3 linked regions of the Lonchura striata genome follow. The main gene of each other region encodes a partner of the protein of the gene in region 3 in a complex. Links are inferred from orthologs where the notes say so. Each region holds a gene or a part of one and is shown on either strand. Other genes may lie near its edges.

Region 1 (7,303 bases), on a different chromosome or scaffold from region 3:
GTTCTGCTTTACCCACTTTACCCAAGTGCCACTGAGCAAGGAGAGTCTGATGCTCCTGACCCAGCCCTGAACACAGAACTGCACCGAGCAGAGCAAGCAAGCAAAAACTTTCCAAAACTGCAGGACAAGATCACACAGAGACAAAACACTGCAGAGTCCCAGCCAGTAACTGCAGCCTTTGAATTCTTAAAGAAGTACTTAGGAAACAATTCCCAGCACAAGCACCTTCAGCAATCCCTGTGCTCAGGTGTGTAATTAAAGAGGGTTCAGTCCCACAGCGCCGTGTGCACGGGAGGGTGTGGAGAAGGTTTAAAGTGGGTGAGATGATTAATCACAGCAGCAGGATGAGGGGGAGACCCAGCATTGCCCTGTTCTGCGGGAATGCAGCAGGAGCAGCTCCTTTGTGATGGGGAAAGGCAAGAGAGGGAAGCACCTTGCTTGCACAAGGCTGGGTTAGCTGGACCTTGGAGCCCCCCGGTGATCCTGCTGCTGTCTCTGCCGGACACTGCAGGACTCACTGTGTGCTCACCCACACGGCCTGGGGACACCTGGAGGGACAGACAGACAGCCCGGCCCTGACCTCGGACAGGGCAATCCCCCCCTTCCCCAGGGGGAAATCCTTGGCACCGTGTGCCTTCCCCGGGGAATGGCAGCAGACAGGCACAGTCGGAGCCTTCCCCAGGAGGCACCATCAGATCCCTGCTGTGAACCATCAGCAGCACCAGAACAAATAGCAAACCCCACTTTTAAATTTTTTCTGATTCCTAACCACCCTTGGACTGTTGGAAGCCACCTCAAGTGTTCTGCCATCCTGCCACATCACTCTTTAAACCAACCAGACCCCCTCACCAGCAGCAACAGCTGAAAATGGGCTGGAGCAAGGGTTGTGGCTTCTCTGGAGCAGCACTCGACCCTTCCCACAATAGACGTGCACCCAAACTCCTCATCCCCAGCAGAAGCATCTCCCTGATACGCTCCCTGGGGACTGCATATCCCATCTGGGGCTCAGCAGCAGCCTCAGCTTCCCCCTCTGGCAACACAGATCCAGACTTTTCACAGCAATAGATGGAAATAAAAAGCTGCTTCTGCAGCTTTGGCTTTAACACAACCCATCCCTCATTGCTCCTGGCAAAACCTCCTGAATGCAGCCTGATAGCTCAGCCACAGACTGTTTTGTTGTTTCCCACCCCTAACTTCACAGTAAACCACTAAAAAAAAAAAACCACAATACATCAAATTCTGCAGCCTCGATGCAGAAGTGGCTCATAACCCCAAGGAACCTCAAGGATTCACAGACCATCTCTGATTTCTGGACTTGCTGTTGCTCTTAAGCCTCAAGCTGTGCATGCACAGAGTGGGTTTTCTCTCTGGCTCCTCACACGGAGCTCCTGCCTGTGCCACGGTCCATGGCTGGAACCGGAGAAGCCGGGCCTGGCCAGGGAGCCAGGACCTGCTCCCACTGCTGGGCCAGGCCTGCAGCAGCTCCCCAGGCCCTGGCAGATCCCAGGGGCTGCGTGGACGCCAGCAGGGAGCCGAGCCTTCCAAAGCCTGGCAGCCATCACCTCTTTGTGAGCCCACCATCTGCTCTGGCAGATCCACACTCCCATTTCCCCCTCCTGCATCCTCCTCGTTTCCCCAGCTCTCTGTCAGCACTCCCCATTCCCATCAGCTTCCCATCAGGATTTATTCTCCTGCCCAGTGCCCTGAGTGTTGCACCTGGCACATTCACCCCTCCAGAGACTTAAATTGTCTTTGGAGCTCCTCCTCCTGTGGATTACCCCACTCCATCCCATTCTGTTTCCTGCTCACCTGCAGCCATAGGTGATTGGAATCTGTGCTGCCTCCACACCCAGCGGGCCCTGCTCAGCCTGGGAAGGAGCAGCACAGCCCAGACTGTGACAAAGTTCACATTTAACTGATAACAGACCAATGGCAATTCAGGTTACCTGATAAAACACCACATTGCAAGGAATTTACTGCCAGGGCCATCTTCTACCACTTCATGGAGCAGCACTTGCTCTCTTTGGAAGAGAAATGGCCCAAACCAGTGAGTGCCAGCTCAGAGCAGGTGCCAGCACAGCATGTACCAGGTGTAATGTGGGAATTCCAGGGAATGCCTGGTTTGTACCCCATCCAAAACTATATCTTTGAGACACTGGAAAGGCAGAACTGACAAAAAGAGCTGCAACAGGCACCTCAGGAGAGAAGAGCTTTGGGAGCAGGTTATCCAAACAGTGGGACTTAAACAGAAACTAAAATAGGGTCCTGAAATCAGGCAGAGAAAAGAACAAAGGTAGCAGCCCAGCAGAGTGTTTATGTTCCTGCTCTGGGAGTGGAGAGCAGCTCAGCAGCTCCTGTGTCAGGAGAGATCCTTACGGACACGAGGAGCCTTGGCAGGAGCAGGGATCAGCCTGAGCAGGGTCACGGGCTGCCCAAGGAAGGGAAAACACAGAGCACACAGGCCTGACTGAGGGCAGGCTTCTCCCCACAACCAAGGAGGGCAAAATCCTACATCAGAAAAGTTCCCATGTTCTAGCATTGGAAAAGGTGATGTTTTCTCCACCCTAAAATTCATCTGTCTGGTCCCTGCAGCCTGTCCCAGCCTGTCTCCTGCACTCCCTGGCCTCTCCTTGCAGGGACACTCAGCAGCTGCTTCTCATCAAAACCTCACCACGAGCTGGAGGAGTCCATAACAGAGCCAGAGCCCAGCAAGTGCTCGGGAGGTGGGAAACAGTCACAAAGCTCCTAAATAGCACCAGGTGGCAAACAGGACACGTTGCCATGCCCCACAGTGTGCAGCCAGACCAGGAACTGCTGTCACAGGCACAAATCCCAGCTGTACAGAGAAAGGGGCAGGTCCAGTGTCACCAGCAGCTACAGCCATGGTTGTGAGCATGGAAAACGAGTGACAGCTGTGACAGGCACCCTCCTTCAGGCTGTGCACGAAGCAGTGTCCACATGTGAGAAACAGTAACAGGTCAGAGCCAAAGGGACAGCCGGGCTCACTCTGGCACCACGGGACTGCTCCAGGACCATGGCACCACGGGCACTGTCCAGGAAAAGGCAGAAAAAGGCCCCATCGTGCCCAGGTGCTGTTGGGCACTGGCGGATCTGGTTCAGCTCACAGGGTGTTCAACTGCACTGAGCCACTGCACTGATCTGAGGCCCCTGTGGGCACATCCATCCCACTCCAACAAGGGCTCAGACTGTTTAATGTAGCAAAAGAGAAGAACAAAGCTCGACCCAAGGGTAGATTTACGTTTCAGAAAGGCAAACGTGTGCCCCAGGGCAGGGTGAGCTCTCGCATGCCTGCAAGCTTCTGCCACCAGCACAACCTGCAGGGATCCAACTGGTTTATGTGAAAGGAAAAACAGATGAAATTTGGCCAAAAAGGGGCAAGTCACATCTCTCTGAACAGCCAGGTTGTGTAGCAACAGTATCACTTGGCACTGGACACAAACCTCCTCCACACCTCCCGTACAAACCAACTGCTCAGGGACCAGGAGCATTCCCAAAGTGCCCAAAGCTGCAGCTCCAGCAGCGAGAGGTGATGCCAAAACACGAGGAAGAGAAACAAAAGTCCAAGAGCTTCAACCAGCAAATTCCACAGCATGGGGCTGAGGACGAGCCGAGCCCAGGCACGACAGAGTGTCACCGCCAGCCGCGACAATGCCAGCGCAGGGCCGGGACACCTCGCGAAAGTCATCCCGCAGCTCTGGCAGTGCGGGAGCCTCCCCGGGCACACCGCAGCTCCCAGCGCCGCAGCGGCTGGTGCCAGGGGGGACGGGCAGCACCCAGCGCTGGCACTGCCGGCTGCAGACAGCTCGAAAGTCACCCACTCCCCTCTCCGGAGGGCACAGCAGCCCGAGGAGCTCCCTCTGGCACGGCCCCCCGGCATCACCGGCCCCACCAAACGCTCAGGGGTGCGCAGCTCCCACGCCCCGCTGCAGTGTCCCGTCCCAGCCGGGGAGCAGAGCGGGGACAGACCCCGGCCTGCCCCGCAGCGCTGCGGCCCCAGCAGCCCCCTCGCTGCACCCCAAGATCCAAACCCCCCAGACGCCCCCAGCCCCACACACGCCACCCGCGGCTCCCGCTGCCCTCCCGGCCCGCAGCGCCGCAGCCAGCGGCAGCAGCCCCCGCCGGGCCGCGGATCCGTCCCCGGGCCGCGCTCACCTCAGCAGGCTGGACAGCGGGTGCCCCACACCGCCGCTCCCGCCGCTCCCGCCGCCGCCTCCCCCCGCCGAGCCGCCGCCGCCGCCCCCGCCGGAGCCGCCGAAGCCGGAGCTGAGGCGCTTCCCCGAGAGCAGCTTCTCCACGGCCGGGAGGTTCCCGGTGCGGGCGGCCTCCAGCAGCTCCTGCTCCTTCCCCATGGCCGGCGCGGCCCCGCCGCCCGCGCGACTTCCGGGGCGGGGCCGGGGCGGGCCGGGGCGGGGCCTCGGAGGGCGCGGCCCGACGGGCGGGGTTTGATGGATGGGCGGTGCGGGGGCGGGGAGCTGTAACGGCCACGCCCCCCGCGGTGCCCGCCGTGCCTCGGCCGCGCCCGTTTCGGGCGGCTCTGGGGAGTTTTCCCCGCGGGGCCGCCCTAGCGCCGTGTCCCGGCAGGGTCCAGGCGTGCGGAGGGCGGCTCGGAGCGGGGTTGGTCGGTCCGGGCGCGCAGAGCCCGGGGGTGAGGCCCGCACGGGGCCCCCTCCGCAGCCCCGCTGCCATGGCGACAAGCCCGGCCCCGCGCGTCATTAAGCTGCGCTGCCGAGTCGCTGTTGCCGCGGCAACAGGCACCGCCCTCGTTGTCATCGGGACGCGCTGTCGCACCTCCGTTGCCATGACTACAGACGCCGTGCCCCCCCGCCTCGCCGGTGCGCGTGCGTCATCACGAGGCGCCCCGCGTCACGTTCCCGTGGCGATAGGCCCCGCCCCTCGCGGCGCCCGCAGTGTTTCGTCATCAGGAGGCGCCGCGGGCGCGGCCATGGCGGACCCGGCCCGGGACGCGCTCGGTGCCGCCGCCGCTGTGCCGGAGCCGCCGCCCGCAGCCGCCTCCCCGCCCGAAGCGGCGGCCGCAGAGGCGGCGGGAGAAGGCGAGGTGCGGGAGGCTGGCGGCGGCAGCGAGCTGAAGGCGGAGGTGGCGGACGGGGAGGTGAGGCGGGAGCGGGAGCGGGGCCGGGGCGGGCGGCGGGGCCGCAGAACGAGCGCTGCGCTCCCGCCCAGGTGAGGAGCGCGGAGGGGGAGGCGGCGGACGCGGAGGAGCCGGGGCTGCAGGCGGGTGCGGCCCGGAAGGTGAAGCTGGAGCTGAAGGAGCGGAAGGAGAAGAAGCAGAAAGTGGACGAGGACGAGATCCAGAAGATGCAGTGAGTGCCTGCGGGTTCGGGAATCGTGGCCCCGGTGCCGCAGCCCCCTCCAGATCCCCCTCCCCGCCTTCCAGCCCGGCGCTCCCCGCTCCGGCCTCCGCGGGGCTGGGAGCGATCGCTGCGTGCCCCGCAGGATCCTGGTCTCCTCCTTCTCCGAGGAGCAGCTGAACCGCTACGAGATGTACCGGCGCTCTGCCTTCCCCAAGGCTGCCATCAAACGGGTACGAGAGCGGCCGGAGCCCCGGCGGGGCTGGGCCACGGCCGGTCCCGGGGGGCTCCAGCTCCAATCCCCGCAGCGGGAGCTGGGGCCGCGGCTCCCCGAGGGGCTGGATGGGCTGGGAGGTCACGGGGGTGGGGATCTGACTGTCCCTGTCCCTGTCCCAGCTCATCCAGTCCATCACCGGCACCTCCGTGTCCCAGAACGTCGTCATTGCCATGTCGGGCATCTCCAAGGTGTTTGTTGGGGAGGTGGTGGAAGAAGGTGAGTGGCACCTTGCTGAGAGGCTAGGGTGAATTCCCTGCTTGGAGCAGGGTGTGGAACAGGATTTTCATGGTTCTCCAGCAGCTCTGGCTCACAGCAGAAGCTGCCACAGCCCCTCTGATCCCCCAGCACTGCTGCTTCTCCTCAGGAAGAGAAGCTGGGCTGGCAACTCCGTCCCTCAGCCCCAGAGCAGCTGCATGATGGGGATGCCATTAGTGCTGCAGGGACAGAGTGGCTCCAAAGCCTCTAGACCTGCCCCAGTTCCTTTGTGGGATGAGCTCAGATCAGTTTGGGACAGGGAGCTGAGCCTGCTCTTTCTGCTCAGCTGTTGGGGCTCACAGCCCACCCACCCCCAGAGGCTCTGAGCTCCTCCACCCCCTCCACAGTTCCTGAGGGGTTCAGCAGCTTTTTGTCCTGCCTGCTGCCCTGGGACTCCTGTCAGGGAGGAGGAGCTGGTGCAAACCCCAAGCACAAACATTTCCTGTTCCTTCCCAACTGCACTGAAGCAGCAGCAGGGGCTGGGCAGAGCTCAGCTGGCCCCTGCCCTGACCTGTGTGTCTGTCTGTCTATCTGTCCAGCTTTGGATGTGTGTGAGAAGTGGGGGGAGCTGCCCCCCCTGCAGCCCAAGCACATGAGGGAGGCTGTCCGGAGGCTCAAGGCACGGGGGCAAATCCCCAACTCCAAGTACAAAAAGATCATTTTCCACTGAGAGAGGCTGAGATAAGCTTCCTGTAGGACCTTCCCACGTGGACTCTTCCCTAAGGCCCTTTTGGGGTGACCTGTGGGACCTCAAGGATGTTCCTGCTGTCCCTGCCTGTGCTGGGCAGAGCCTGGATGCACCCTTGACCTGGACTTTGGGGAGAGCAACATCCAGGGGCTGCAGAGCATTTTCTGCTGGCCCAGATGTGCCATCTGTGCCCAGATGTGTGGGTTTTCTTTTCAGTGCATTAAACTTATTCTTGTGTTCATAACCAGGCTGGGATCTGCTCTTTGTGTGACCCAAGGTGCTCCCAGAGCTGATTCCCTGGGAACATCTGAAATCAGGGTTCAGCTGTGCTTCCAAATCCAGAAGCTGCCCAAAAAACAGCAGCAGTGGGAAGAGAGGGGGAGGGAAAAGCAGGAAAAGAGGCCAGAGCCTGGAAGGAGGTTAATGAGTTTAATTCTGCTCGTGGTTCATAGAACCAATAAACCCATCAGTGGAAACAAACTGCAGCAAAGTTGCAATACTGCCTAAAATTCAAATTCAAGTTCAGACTTGCACATTGCCCCTGTCCCCTTCCAGGGGCCCTGGGAGCTGCTCCTGACCCTGTGAGAGGTGCTGAGACCACGTGCTCTCCCATGGCACCTGTGGGCTCTCACTGGAACAGAGGAAGAATCCTTAAATAAGAGGCTCCACAAAGTAAACTTTGATATTTACAATCTGTGGGGACCCAGGAGGTTTTGTCCTCCCACACGTGTGGGTTTTGGGTTACACTCCTTT
Region 2 (6,300 bases), on a different chromosome or scaffold from region 3:
AATGTTTGGTATGGAACCAGCTGCTGGGGTACGGGGCGGAGGAATGGGGGGAGTTGTTTGGGGTGGGGGGCTGGAGTGACTGGGGGGCTGAGACTCACAGGGGATGTCTAGGACTGAGGGTGGGGTTGGATTGACATGGGGCTACCTTGCAGCCCACAGAGCCCTGGGCACAAGTCACCACCCACAGCAACCCTCTGGTGCCCAGCACAAGTAGGGTAGATAGGCACAGGGCCCCCTCGGGAGGGGCCTGGTGCAGGAGGGGTGGGCTCAGGGTCCCATCCCTGGCTCCATTTGTCGTGCTGCCTGTGCAGCCCCCATGGTGTTCCCTGTGGGAGACAAGGGGCAGTTTAGGGAAGGAGGAGAAGGAAGAGTGCTGGGCAGTCCCTGTGCCCTAACCCCACTCTGCTCCAGTACTGCTGGGAGCACCGAGCCCCCTCTGACCAGCAGAGGGGGGTGAGCACGTGGAGGACCAGGGCCAGCACTTGAGGACGCAGGCACAGGAGCAAGGCTGCCTTCCCACAAAACCCTGTGAGGTGTTTAATGGCACTGACACTACCCCTACAAGCTGCCCAAGCTCCCCCGTGCTCTATGTGAAGTAATGCGGCTTTTTGACGTTGATGCCATACTCAGCCAGCGCCGGTGTCAGGTCCTCCATGGTCAGCGTATACTTCTTGTCCTGAGGGACATGGGGCAGGCGGTCACAGCAGGGACAGCCGGGGCCGTGGGACCCCCCACAGTGCAGGGACAGGCGTGTCCCACAGCCAGAGGAGCTGCTGGGCAGCACTGGGGTATGCCCACCTCCCTGCAGATATCCCTGGACAACTAGCACCAAATCCTACTGGCCTTGCGGAGCCCCTGATCCCCAGATATGGCACTAGGAGGGTCCCCAGCACCCCTCACTCCAGCTCCTCCCCAAGCCCAGAGCTGCAACCACTGCTGGGGTGGAGGGGCACCAAAGGGTGTCCACAAGCTCCATGCCCCCATCGTGTCCCCGCCAGCCCCTCCCCGCCCGCAGGGACCCAGCATAAGCCCGCAGATGTTGGGATTTCTACACCCCACATTCCTGCACTCGGTGGCTGCGGCTCAGCCCCATCCCAAGGGAGGGCTCCCCACTCCCCCCAGCCCCTCACCTTGCTCTTGCTGCGGGAGCTGCCCGAGGCTGTGCCCTTCATCTTGCAGTGCTGCAGCGCGTCATTGGCAATGTCCGAGATGAACTTCTGAGCCGCCAGCGAGATCAGGCGGATTCTGCGGGACAGGGACCGTGTTGGTGAGGCAACAGGGTCCGCGGGCCCTTCTGCCGGACCCTGCGTGGCTCCTGCCTCTCCCCCCCAGCTTGCGGCCACTCACATGCGGGGGTCCGAGGCCTCAAACCCTGCCCGGTTCAGGTAATACCCTGTGACGGCGTCCGGGATCTGGGAGGGAAGAGTTGGAACAGCTGCACAGCCCCGCGGAGCGTTTCTACATCCTATGTCCCGTGGCACAGGAGCCGCGCTGTACCCCAGTACCGCGGGACCTGCCCCGTGTCCCATCCCGTCCCGTCCCACGGGAGCCGCCCTGTGTGTCGGTACCGTGGGAGTGTAGTCCTCCAGCTGCATGAGGAAGTCCACGAGCGGTGTGGTGGACACCACCGGCTTCACGTCGCCGTTGGCCGCGGGCGGCACGTACACACCGTTAGACATGGCCCCGTCCGGGGGAGCGGCCACGGCCGCGGACACCGGCACTACGGGACAGCACGGTCAGCGCTACAACGGCGCACGGCACCAGCACCGCGGGACAGCACGGTCAGAGCTAGAACCGCGCACGGCACCGGCACCACGGGACAGCACGGTCAGCGCTAGAACGACGCACGGCACCGGCACCGCGGGACAGCACGGGCAGAGCTAGACCCGCGCACAGCACCGGCACCGCAAGACACACGCCCAGCGGGACCCGGGGCACCCCGGAACACCCCGGGGGCCGCTCCCACGGCCCGAGTAACTCAGCGCGTCCCGCGGGGCTCCCGTGAGCGGGGCGCATCTCCCGCCGCCCCCATCGCGACTCACCGGGCCCCCTCCCGCCGGCCGCACAGCCCTCGGCGGCGCGCGCCGCACCGCCCCCCGCAGCCGGCGCCGCCCCGGGCCCGGCGCTTCCCGCGGCGGCCGGGCTGGGCTTGCTGCCGTCGGCGGGGCCCGGCGGGGCAGCCGGAGCCGCGGCCGCGGGGTCGGGATCGCCGCTGCCGCTCATGGTCCCGGCGCCAGCCCGCTCCGCGCCTGCGCATGCCGAGCCGCTGCATTGGCCCCGCGGCTCCTTCGCCCCGCCCCCCTCGCCGTCCCATTGGCCCCGTTGGGCCCCCGCCTTGCCCCCCATTGGTTCAGCCCTCCGACGCTCATCGCCCCGCACGGGTCCAAACAGAGGCGGTGGGCGGGGCTTCGCTTGTTTATTGCTCCGCCCCCGCCGCCCCAGCTCCGCCCCCAGCTCCGCCCCCAGCTCCGCGGCGTTCGCGGTCCGGTCCCGCTGTCCGGTCCCGCTGTCCGGTCCCGCGGCCCGTGCACCGCTGTCCGTGCGGTCCCGCTGTCCGTGCGGTCCCGCTGTCCGTGCCCCGTTGCCCGGCACCGCGGTCATGCCACGGGGCCCCGGTCAGCGCGGCCCCAGCGCCCGCAGCAGGCGCGGGAAGTTGGGGGTGCCCCAGCCCGTGACCGGGTCCCAGGCGGGGGTGGCACAGAAGCCCTGGCCCTGCACGGTGCCATCCAGGCAGGACAGGTGGCAGCCCTGGATCACCTGCGGGGACCAGCTTCAGTACTGGACCGCGGCAACGCCCCCCAAGTCTCGGGACAGCGACCTCTGGAGCACCCGAGCCCCACACAGGCCTGGGACAGGGATCCCAGGGCCCAGGGACCACCCAGGACAGGGGTAGCATGGGCACAGGGACCCTGCCCGCAGTCCCCAGGACCCAGGGACAGCTGTCCCTGCCATCCCTGAGACAGGAATCCTGGGGACAGGGGCCCCCAGACATCTGACATGGGGACCCCCACAGAGCTCACAGAAGCCCATAGGGACCCCCAAGGATATCACGCCCATGGAAACGTCGAGGCCAACCCCAGGACCCCCTCCCATGGGAACGCCATAGGGATTCTCTCCTGCCCCCCAGCAGGACACTGCTGGCCCTGCCCCAGGCACAGCTTTGGGAGCAGGAACCCCAGGACAACCCCCAGCCCCCAGGACAGCCCTTGGAGCACACACGGCCCTCCCAGCCCCATGGATGGGCCCACCCCAGGCCTCAGCCAAACACATCAGAACACCCGAAGTCCCCTCAGCCCCCAGGACAGCCCCTCCAGCCCATTCCCTGCTCTGCTCACATCGTAGAATGCATCACCAAGCCCTTGCTTCTGCAGCTGGTAGAGCACAGGGTTGAGGAAGCCAAGGGGTGCCAGCCCCCGCTGCAGGCGCCGGTCATTGATCAGTGCCACCATGCCTGCCACCACCGGTGTGGACGCCTGCGTGGGCACAACCGCTCAGCCCAGGGCCCCGCCGTGCTGGAGGGCAGCAGGGGGTGAGCTCCTTACCGAGGTTCCCGACACCCAGGGCAGCGGGATGCGGTTTGTCACCACCCAGTAGTTGTCAGAGAGCGCAGCCAGGTCGGGGTATGCACGGCCACTGCTGTTGTAGTAGGAGCTGGGCGGCAGCTTCGAGGCTGAGTGCAGGAAATGCCCAACAGCAGCGGCCTGGGGATAGCACGGCCTGTGGGCATCCCCAGGGCCACTGTCCCCCCCGAGCCTAACCCTGCAGCCCCGTCTGCAGCCCCCAGCCTGGCGGCACTGGTGTCCCTCACCTGGTACTCGGGCATGGGGAAGACGTTGCTGAAGCCACCCCCGCTGATGTAATCCGTCACCTCCTCCGTCACCAGGAAGGGGTTCTTGAAGGACGTGCCACCCACGGTGGTGACGTAGGGGCTGGGGAAGCAGGGGGACACTGCCGGTGGGCACAAGGCTGCTTGGGCCTTAGCAGCCACCAACAGCCCCCTCTGCTACCACACCTTCACCCCACAGACCAAACCAATCCCGCAGCTGCACAGGCTGCAGCTCTGGGCTCTGTACGACTGCTGGTGAGGACCCTCAGGTGACCTTTCAGGAGCTCAGACCCCTCTGGGGCCGGGGCCGGCTGTGCCTCCGCAGGGCTGTGCTGACCCCTCGCACCCACCTGGAGGCCGGGAAGCTGGGCCGGAACGTGTGGTTCCCGCCATGCTCTCGCCGACAGCCAGCACCGTCGTCACCTGCAACACAGGAACAGGTGACAGGTGAGCACGGCGCCCCAGGCACCCCCTCCCCAGCCCCACTCGGTGCTCGAGCTCAGCTGCACCTGAGGCAAACAGGATGGTGAGGCCGCGGGCCGCCGCCTTCATGAACTCGGTGTTGACACGCTCCATGTAGGCGTAGGACAGGCTGTCCTCGTCGTCCCCGTAGCTCACCGAGTGCACCCAGGGCAGCGCTGACATGTTGCTGAGCAGCAGCAGCCAGGCCAAGAAGGGCTCCTGGCTCTCGTGGCGCCCTGCAAGGACATCGGGGAAGGGACACGTGGGATAGCTCCTCCGACATCAGCGACAGTGGGAGACAGTGCGAGGAGCCCTGCCTCATCAGCACCAGCACCCTCCTTCGCAGTGCAGCTCCAAGTGCTCCTTCCTGTGGGCCATGGAGTCACAGCACATCCGGCCTGGAGCTCCGTGAGCTCATCCTGGGGCTCCTCACATTGACAGCACTGAGCTTCAGCTCAGCCCATGGGGTTGGCAAGACTGTCATCAGCCCAGGACAGGGGGCTACACTCACACCTCCTCTCTGAGACTCTGCCCCAGGGCTGCAGCCACATGGGCACCTGTGGGCCCAGCAGGGCCTCAGCTCCTCCTCTGGCAACAGGTCCCAGAAGAGAAGCGCATGTGCCACCTCCACACATTCCACCTGCACCTGCCCAGGTCCCTCCCTGTTCCCAGCCCTCTCCACTGGGAGGGGAGCAGCGTCCCAGGCACACCTACTCACTCTCGGTCACCCATGTCACTCATCTGCATCCTTCCCATACCAGTAACTGTGTGAGGACGGAGGGAAGGGCAGCACTCATCTGCTGTCACCGTCACCATCAGGGACAGGGCTGCTGTCCCTGTGGCACCCACCTGCTCAGCCAGTTCCCAGTCTGGGACAAGGACACTGCCCCTAGCACTGTGCCCTGTTTGTGTTTGTGTAGGCTGTTTGGCAATTTATTTTCCCAATTCCCTCACTCTCCCTCATCTGTTCCTCTGGAAGGCTCGTGGGTGGGAGCTCAGCTGCAGCAGAGCTGGAAAACCCCACGGGAGGAGGGCTGTGCCCTCCTTCATGGAGCTGAGTGGGGCAGCTGCTCTGTATGGTGCTAGCAACAGAAACCCTGCTTCAGGATACTCTGAAGATTGAAGGTATACAGAGTTCAAAGTCACCACACACAGCAGGAGTGATGTCCCTAGGAGCTGGGAATGCGGTGCCAGCTCTGACTTGGGGAGCACACAGGGTCCGCTCCCACAGCAGCTGGGGATGCACCTGGGCAGTACTACAGCCAGTTGTCTGCACAGCCCTGCAAGCTCTCCCCTCACTCCTCCCAGCACTCCCCTCCCTTGTTCCAGCCCCCTCCCTCAAACCTCCAAATGTTCCCTTCCCTGCTCCAGGCCCTCCCCTCCTCTCTCTGGGTGCTCTCCTTCCCCCTGCCCCTCGTGGCTCTTCCCCAGTACCTGCGTTGCTGAAGACCCAAGTGGAGACATTGGCGCCCGTGCTCATGATGTATTCTACATCCAGGCTGGCCTCCAGCCCGGCTTTGCCACGGCCCTGGTGCCCCACCACCCGGTCCACTTGCGTGCGGTGGGCAAAGCCGCTGCCAAAGAGCTGCATGAACTCAGCCAGGTCAGCTTGGTGGAAGTACTGCTCGAGAAACTGTGGGATACAGAGGGACAGGTTGTCTCCTCTCAAAAAAACAAGGTAACGCTTTGATCCTGACGTAGGAAATTGCCCAGCACGGGTCTGTGCTACACCAGGTGCTCCCAGCAGCCACTGAGGGACACCCAGCTGTCCCAAGACCCCCAGACCAGCACCAAACCCTTGGACTGCCCCGGTACACATGCCTCTGACAAGGCAGTGCTTACCTGTGCACAGGCCTGGCTGTTGTTGGGCAGCAGCCCCACATCCCCCCCTGTCATGTTGTATCTCTGGCGCAGGACAGCCGGTGTCACGCCCAGGTGGAACGATGCTCGTGCCAGCTTTGCGTCCTTCCTGGCCCTGGCTCTGCTAATTGCCTTGTGCTCCGTGGGGAACC
Region 3 (7,404 bases):
AGTGAGTCACCTTCTCCCTACCCTGGACTTCAGGCAATCAATTATCCATCCCAGCTCCAACCCCTGCCAGACCCAACTGCTCTGACCTCTGCCCCAGGGGCCCTCCAGGATTTCCCCATCACTCATGGAGCAGCAGCTGCCTACAATGCCACAGCTCTCCAGCATGCCAGAGGAAAGGGGAACATGTCCCTCCTGGCACAGGAGGCACAAGCAGCCCTGTTTTCCCAGGCATACAGCCTACACCCACCTCTCCGGAGTACACCTGCTCCCCAAAGTCCCTCTGCTATGGAGATCCCCCTTCATCTCCTTCCTAATTCTCACAGATGCAGCAGGAGCACTGGCAACCCCATCTCTGCATACGAATCTCTGCCACATGACACCCTCCCTGTCCCACATGGAGGGCAGCAAAGGCCTCCACACACAGACCCATGACCCTCTCACCACACCCACAGCCTGAGCCTTGCTCCTCATTCCCCACATTTCCTGTGTTTAGAGCTGGCAGTGACCCTGACAGCCTCCCTCTCCCTGCAGATTGCCACCTCCCCACCCCTTCCTGACCCACCCAAACCCAGCACACCCCTACCACCCTCTCAGCCCCACTGGCAGCATGACTGACCAAGCAAGCAACTGGACATCCCACCCTCCAACCCCCCATGTTCTGCAGGTACAGCAGGACATCCAACCCCTCAGTAGCTCCACTGCAGGCTCTGCAGGGACACAACACTGCATCCTCTACCATACACCCAGACCCAACAGTGCTGCTCCCTTCCCAATCCCATTCCACACTCCTGTGTGTGATCCAGCCAGCAGTCCTTGGCACTGATTCCCAGGCTTCTCCTCTTTCTCTTCTCCCACTTCCTGTAAACTCAGCCCTTCCATGCTCCCAGCCCAACACAACCTCACCTCAAATCCAGTGAGGCCTTGGGCATCACTTCCACTGCCCTCCACCATCACTTCCAGCTCCCTCTGTACCACCTCCATGGCAGAGCTGGCTAACTCCAGTCCCCCACACATCCAGCCAAATCTCTTCCTCTGCCTCCACACAAGGACACCCATACCTCATGCCATGTGCACTAAATTATCCCCAGCCCAAATCCACCCTTTCTGCACTCCACAATTCCCATGTGCAGCCATGCCACACTCCCACATCCTGTGCACTACAGCTCCACTTCCCCCAAAACACATTAGGGCATCCTTGCCTTCCCACATTCCCCATACACATTCCCCAGTCCCACAGTACCACTGCTTCCCCCCTGTACACAAACATTCCCAGAGCACCCCAGCAACAGGACTTCCAGGCACACCACTCCCTCCCCATGCAGGAGGGAGTCCAAGCCTTCCACCCTCCATCCTCAGCACTTCCCCTTGGGCCAGAATAGGAAACCCCACACACATCTCCACCTGCAGTGGGCCCCTACAGCCCCCTCAGGCACAAAAGATGACCCAAAGATGAGCCACGACAACACAGCACCAAATCCTCCCATGTATACATCCCACCAGGAAAAGAGGCTGGCTGCCTCTTCTCCTTCCAGTTCAATCTCTTCCCAGATTCAGAACATCCCAGCAATAGAGCCAAAACTCCCCTCTCCCCCTTCCCAGCACCCTGCACGCTGTAGCCAGAGAGAGTGGGACAGCACCCCCGTGTTCCCACATTCCAGACCCACTGCCACAGAGCCTCCTTTCCTCCAACCCCAGCCCCACAGTCCCAACTCCTCACCCATACCCAAACCCACTGCCCCACAGTCCTCCGTGGCACCAGGACCCCCTTGCTTCAGCACTGACCCTATGCCTTCCCTCCCCATCCTCCCAGTCCTGTGCACTGCCCCATGGCCCAGCTCCCCTTCCCCAGAGCCCCCAGCCCATGGGCTGATCTTCCATAAACCCACTCACTGACCCAAAGACCCCAGCACTGCCCAAATCCCACCTCCCCGCACTCTTCTGCCCTGCCCAAATGACCACACCTCCATGACCCTCCTCTGCCAAGCATCCCCAGCTCCTGGCACTCTTCAACAAGCAGCAGCTTCCAGCAGCCCTCCCCACACCTCCACAATGCTACCCCACAGCCTTTCCCCACAACCAGGGCCCCCAGTGCTGCCCAAACCCACCTCCTGTGCCCTCCTGCCCAGTCCCCAGACCCCAATGCTGCCCAAACCCACCTCCTGTGCCCTTCTGCCCTGTACCCCAGACCCCTGCCCAATCTCACCTCCCTGTACCCTTCTGTCCTATCCCCCAGACCCTTGGCTTGCCCAAACCCACCTCCTGTGCCCTTCTGTCTGTCTTATCCCCCAGACCCCTGCCCAAACTCACCACCCTGTGCCCTCCTGCCCTGTCCCCCAGACCCCAGCAGTACCAAAATCCCACCTCTCCGTGCCTTCCTGCCCTGACCCCAGACCCCAGCAGTGCCCCACACCACCTCCCTGTGCCCTCCTGCCCTGCCCAAGCCCCAGCAGTGCCCCACAGCACCTCCCTGTATCCTCCTGCCCTGTCCCCCAGACCCCAATGCTGCCCAAACCCACCTCCTGTGCCCTCCTGCCCTGCCCAAGCCCCGGCATTGCCCACACCACCTCCCTGTGCCCTCCTGCCCTGCCCAAGCCCCGCACCCCGTGCTCCTGCCCTGGCCCGCCAGTGTCCAGCGCTGTTTCCTTGGCAGGATGGCCGAGCCCGGCAGGGCTCACGGAGCTCACTCAGCCCGGACCCTGCTCAAGCAGGGCCACCCACTGAGGCCTCCGAGGACCGCGTCCAGCCGCATCCCCCCGGCCCAGCCCCAGCCCACACTCACAGAGCTCGCAGTAGCGGTGGCAGCCCCGGCCCAGCCCCTGCAGGTACCGCTGCAGCACGTCGGTGAGCAGGTCGCAGGCCGAGACCTGCACGGAGTCCCAGCCGAGGGCCTGGCAGATCTGCGCCACCGACACCCGCAGCAGCCAGCGGGAGTAGGTCTCGCACATCCCGCCGGGGCCGGGGGCCGCGGGAGCTCTCACGCACCGCCCGCCGCCGCCGCCGCCATCTTGGCGCCGCCCCGCCCCCGCCAGGCAGCGCCGCTCCAGTGCCGAGCGCATCGAGCGGGGCGGAGCGCGGGAACGCCGCCCGCAGCAACCGAGGCCGCGGCCCGCAGCGCGCGGGACACGCCGGGGTCGGACACGGAACACGGGCCACTGTCGGTACCGCAGCGGGACACGGAACACGGGTCACTGTCGGTACCGCAGCGGGACACGGTAAATGTGCCGCTGTCGGTACCGCAGCGGGACACGGTACATGTGTCACTGTCGGTACCGCAGCGGGACACGGTACACGTGTCACTGTCGGTACCGCAGCGGGACACGGTACACGGGCCACTGTCGGTACCGCAGCGGGACACGGTAAATGTGCCGCTGTCGGTACCGCAGCGGGACACGGTACATGTGTCACTGTCGGTACCGCAGCGGGACACGGAACACGGGTCACTGTCAGTACCGCAGCGGGACACAGTACATGTATCAGTGTCAGTATCGCAGCGGGACACGGTACGTGTGCCACAGTCGGTACCGCAGCGGGACACGGTAAATCTGCCACTGTCGGTACCTCAGCGGGACACGGTACATGTGTCAGCGTCGGTACCGCAGCGGGACACGGTACACGGGCCACTCTCGGTATCGCAGCGCCGCTGAATGTCCCCCACTGCCCCAAGGGATCGTACAGGAAGGATGCGACAAGGCTGTTTACAATGGCTTCGAACTGAGAAGGAGTTTTTGATGGGATATGGGGAAGAAATTCTGCACTGTGGGGGTGATGAAGCACTGGCACAGCGTAGCCAGAGAAGCTGGGGATGTCTCATTCGTGGTGGTATTGAAAGTCTGGTGGGATAGTGAAGTGTCCCTGCCCATCACAGCGGGTGCAACAAGGTGATCTTTAAGGTCCCCTCCAACCCGAACCATCCTGTGATTCTATGGTCTCTATAAATAATCTCAATATCTCTAAATAAATATCTCAGAGAGCTGTCAAAAGGATGGTGTCAGACTTTTCTAAGTGATGAGCAGTGACAGGATAAGGAGCAATGACCATAAGAAAACCAAATCACAAGGAGTTTCACCTCCTCAGGAGGAAGAACTTCATTACGCAGAGGGTGGCAGAGCACTGGAACAGGCTGCCCAGGAAGGTTATTTTTCTCCCTGGAACAGGCTGCCCAGGGAGGTTATTTTTCTCCTTTTTTTTTCTTTCCAGCTGGATGGAACACCAAATTGGCAGCAATAAGGAAAAAACTGTTTCTCGATGACTTGTTTAATTGGGGAAAAAAAAACAAGTAGGGAAAAGGATGGAACTCCGGTGGCAAAAAGGATCCAGAAACAAAATTTACAGTAACTGAGTGGTGTAGGAGGTGCAAGAAGGAGCAGCGCAGCTCTTACTCAGTGGTACCTGTGGAGATACACAAGAGCTAAACTGTAACTCAGTAGTTGTGTGTAACTAATCAAGAGCATGGAGGACAGAACTGTAAATAACAGAACTCTATTATACTATATTATTACTCCAGTATGAAACCCTAATTAGTTCATAAATTAGCACTTTAGTTTATGAGTAGTCTGTTGTGTCAGTCACACATCTCACATCTGCTGCCTGAAGAGCAGGACCTGGACCCCGAACAAAGTCCTGAAGCTCCTGGTTTGGTTAACAGCTCAAGGTCCTGAGGGTGGTGCCCTCAGAGCTCCATACTGGGACCAGTATGAGCTTCTCTGGGCAACGAGTGCCAGGACCTCACCCCCTTCACAGTAGAGAATTTCTTCCCAACATCCAATCTATCCCTGCCCTCCATCAGTTTAAAGCCATTGCCCCTCATCCTGCTGCTCCATGTCCTTATCCAAAGTCGCTTTCCAGCTCCCCTGGAGCCCCTTCAGATGCTGAAAGGTCTCCCTGGGACCTTCTCCAGGCTGAAAACTCTCAGGGTTTGAGAACAAACTCTCCTCAGGAGAGGTGCCCCAGTCCTCCAACATTTACATTTCTATACACACACTGACCATGCAATAAACTGTGCATTCTAAATAACCTCTGTAGTGACTCAACCAATCACATCACTTAATTTTAAAAATTCAACATCTGCTAACAGTAGCAATACAAAATTCAAATAAGAGATATCAGTGTTCTAGCTGTGTGATGCAGAGGTTATTCCAGTCTCCTCCTTGAGCCCACAATACAATGTACCTCTCAAAGTAGATCATTTTCAAAGACAGGGTGAAGTTAGAAAATCTCTTCCACTCTTCAAAAGAAACATCCACTTACATGTTTCACATGGCATATAAACTAAAAGTATAGAGCACAGACTTCTAAGAAACAAAGTTTCAAAGCACACCCAAGCCCAACCCAGATATTTAGACTCCAAGAGCATTTGCTCCACAGACAAGCAAAAGGATCTGTTTCACGGAGGTCGTTTATTGTACGAATTTACAAATTTCTGGGGCTTTTCCACTTCTTCACAAGATAACAGAGCAGTCTTGTTAACACAGACACAGGCAGGCTAAACCACATATGCTCAGAAGAGCTCCTCTTCACCTGTAAATAAAATTGAAACAAATCAAAATCCTTTCATCTATTTATTTATTTTAAACTGCTATTTTCCCCAATTTGAATACTTCATTAATATTCCTCACCACCCCCCAACGATTCATCACATCTATTTTTTTCTTACATTTTAAATTTTGAAATTTTCCTTACATTTTAGATTTTGAATATGTTCATGTTAATACAGAAACCTCTTTATGTATGTCTGACATACAGACACCTTTAAGTAATTGCATAAAGTCAGACCACTATACAAATATTCAAACAGCAATTGCAAATGAATCCAACAATAGAGAAAAAAAAACCACAGAAAATTATAACTCATCTGGGATTATGCTACCATGGACATATTTTCCTTAAAATTACTGAAAAATAAGAACTCTTTGGACAAATTCAAACTAAAAATGTCCAATTTCACAGCTCTTTAGGAAGGAAAGCTTCTGTCTGACCAAGACCATTTAATTCTGTCTTCCTCATCTAACTTTGTATTTTCTGTGTTAATTAATTTTAAAACACAATCCAACTTCTATGACATAACTTTACCTCTTGGATTTGGCTGAACCGCTTTTTCCGATTAATCCCTGGTTATGGTATTATGAGAAAAAACAAAACAAGCAGGTTAGGAAGCAACTCATGCAAATTCAGGCAAAACTGCACGGATTTATGACCACAAATGTATTGTGAGGAGCACAATACAGCACCAAAATAATATAAAGTACATATTCCAGGCATTCTGTAAATACACAGGATATGAACACATGTATTTCCGTACAGAGCACAAATTTTTAACTGTTACAGTAGTACATGTGAGCTACATGCAGTTACAAATTGTGGTCTAACCCCACACATTTGTAACCTGCAGCACACACCTGCACAAAGCCTCATCCTCAGGCAAACAAGCAAAATACTAAATTTCAAGTAAAATACATATTCCATATAAAAGATTCCGGAAATTCCCTCTTTGTAAACCCAGACCCAAACTCTCAGCTTCTGAACACCTGATTTATCCAAAAGCATTTCAGTCACATCATTTGCTCTCCCCCACTCAACACTACTGGGTTATTTGACCAGGCAAAGCAGGAAATGTCCAGGTAAAAAGGAAGAGGGGGGAAATCCACCAAAGGCCAGAAGGAAAATCCTCACCTCTCCAGGCAAGGATGCCTGGTGAGGCTGAAGATCTATTTTACCAGCTTTTAAACTGCATTTGATCAGAAAAAACTGCCAACTTCGCTCTGGTTAGTAGAACTGCGCAAGCTGAAAAGCTTGGGAGCCATGCCAGGGACTGCCTTCCCTCTGGTTTTAGGACCTACAATCCCAAAGTTTGCCTGTTACCCTGGCACACAAGAGCACATGACTGCAACAGCTCTGACTGCACGTTCATACAGATACTCACAGAGCAGCAGCACCAGAGATGATCTCAATGAGCTCCTTGGTGATGACGGCCTGGCGGGTGCGGTTGAACGTCAAGGTCAGCTTGTCAATCATCTCGGCTGGAATAAGGCCAGATTGGAGTTTAAACACAAAATGAGTGTATAAATGCAGATACAGAGAAGCTCTATGGGCACAATATCCAAGTTATTTGCAGTGGTTTACAAGACACAAGAGGTTTAGTGCACCTGACATTTTTTCCCTGCAGGTAATATTACCAAGAAACCATCTATAAACCAGCTTGAGAACTAAGCTTGTCAGTCAAACATCTGCAGAACAGCTGGCAGACTTGTAAATACCAGGCCTGACATTGCTTATTGTAACATAACACAAGCAGGCATCATTAGCTTTGGAATTAGATTTCACTGTCAATTAACTGCATTGTTATTTCCTTCAAGTTGTGGCAAAAGGAGAGATTTTTCTCCATTATTTTTTTCTCAATTATTTCAG

Evidence for each region. The genes of interacting proteins can lie anywhere in the genome.
Region 1: TAF3 (region 3) and TAF11 share a complex: the UniProt entries of both Homo sapiens proteins name them as parts of the TFIID basal transcription factor complex. The link is inferred for Lonchura striata from reciprocal best matches to the Homo sapiens genes TAF3 and TAF11.
Region 2: TAF3 (region 3) and TAF10 share a complex: the UniProt entries of both Homo sapiens proteins name them as parts of the TFIID basal transcription factor complex. The link is inferred for Lonchura striata from reciprocal best matches to the Homo sapiens genes TAF3 and TAF10.

What each region holds. Positions count from the first base shown.
Region 1 is NC_134632.1:4,361,419-4,368,721, reverse strand, and holds TAF11 (transcription initiation factor TFIID subunit 11), read left to right. Parts: upstream 1-4,963; coding exon 4,964-5,131; intron 5,132-5,202; coding exon 5,203-5,342; intron 5,343-5,475; coding exon 5,476-5,563; intron 5,564-5,726; coding exon 5,727-5,823; intron 5,824-6,401; coding exon 6,402-6,532; 3' UTR 6,533-6,794; downstream 6,795-7,303. Other genes in the region: ANKS1A (ankyrin repeat and SAM domain-containing protein 1A), read right to left, coding at 4,174-4,370. UniProt on the Homo sapiens protein: The TFIID basal transcription factor complex plays a major role in the initiation of RNA polymerase II (Pol II)-dependent transcription.
Region 2 is NC_134604.1:116,987,394-116,993,693, forward strand, and holds TAF10 (transcription initiation factor TFIID subunit 10), read right to left. Parts: upstream 2,224-6,300; coding exon 2,043-2,223; intron 1,721-2,042; coding exon 1,569-1,720; intron 1,413-1,568; coding exon 1,348-1,412; intron 1,246-1,347; coding exon 1,131-1,245; intron 677-1,130; coding exon 587-676; 3' UTR 510-586; downstream 1-509. Other genes in the region: TPP1 (tripeptidyl-peptidase 1), read right to left, coding at 2,617-2,757, 3,336-3,473, 3,543-3,701, 3,809-3,929, 4,177-4,249, 4,336-4,524, 5,723-5,921, 6,131-6,300. UniProt on the Homo sapiens protein: The TFIID basal transcription factor complex plays a major role in the initiation of RNA polymerase II (Pol II)-dependent transcription.
Region 3 is NC_134607.1:68,967,001-68,974,404, forward strand, and holds the start of TAF3 (transcription initiation factor TFIID subunit 3), read right to left. Parts: upstream 3,013-7,404; 5' UTR 2,946-3,012; coding exon 2,780-2,945; intron 1-2,779. Other genes in the region: ATP5F1C (ATP synthase F(1) complex subunit gamma, mitochondrial), read right to left, coding at 6,101-6,107, 6,920-7,016. UniProt on the Homo sapiens protein: The TFIID basal transcription factor complex plays a major role in the initiation of RNA polymerase II (Pol II)-dependent transcription.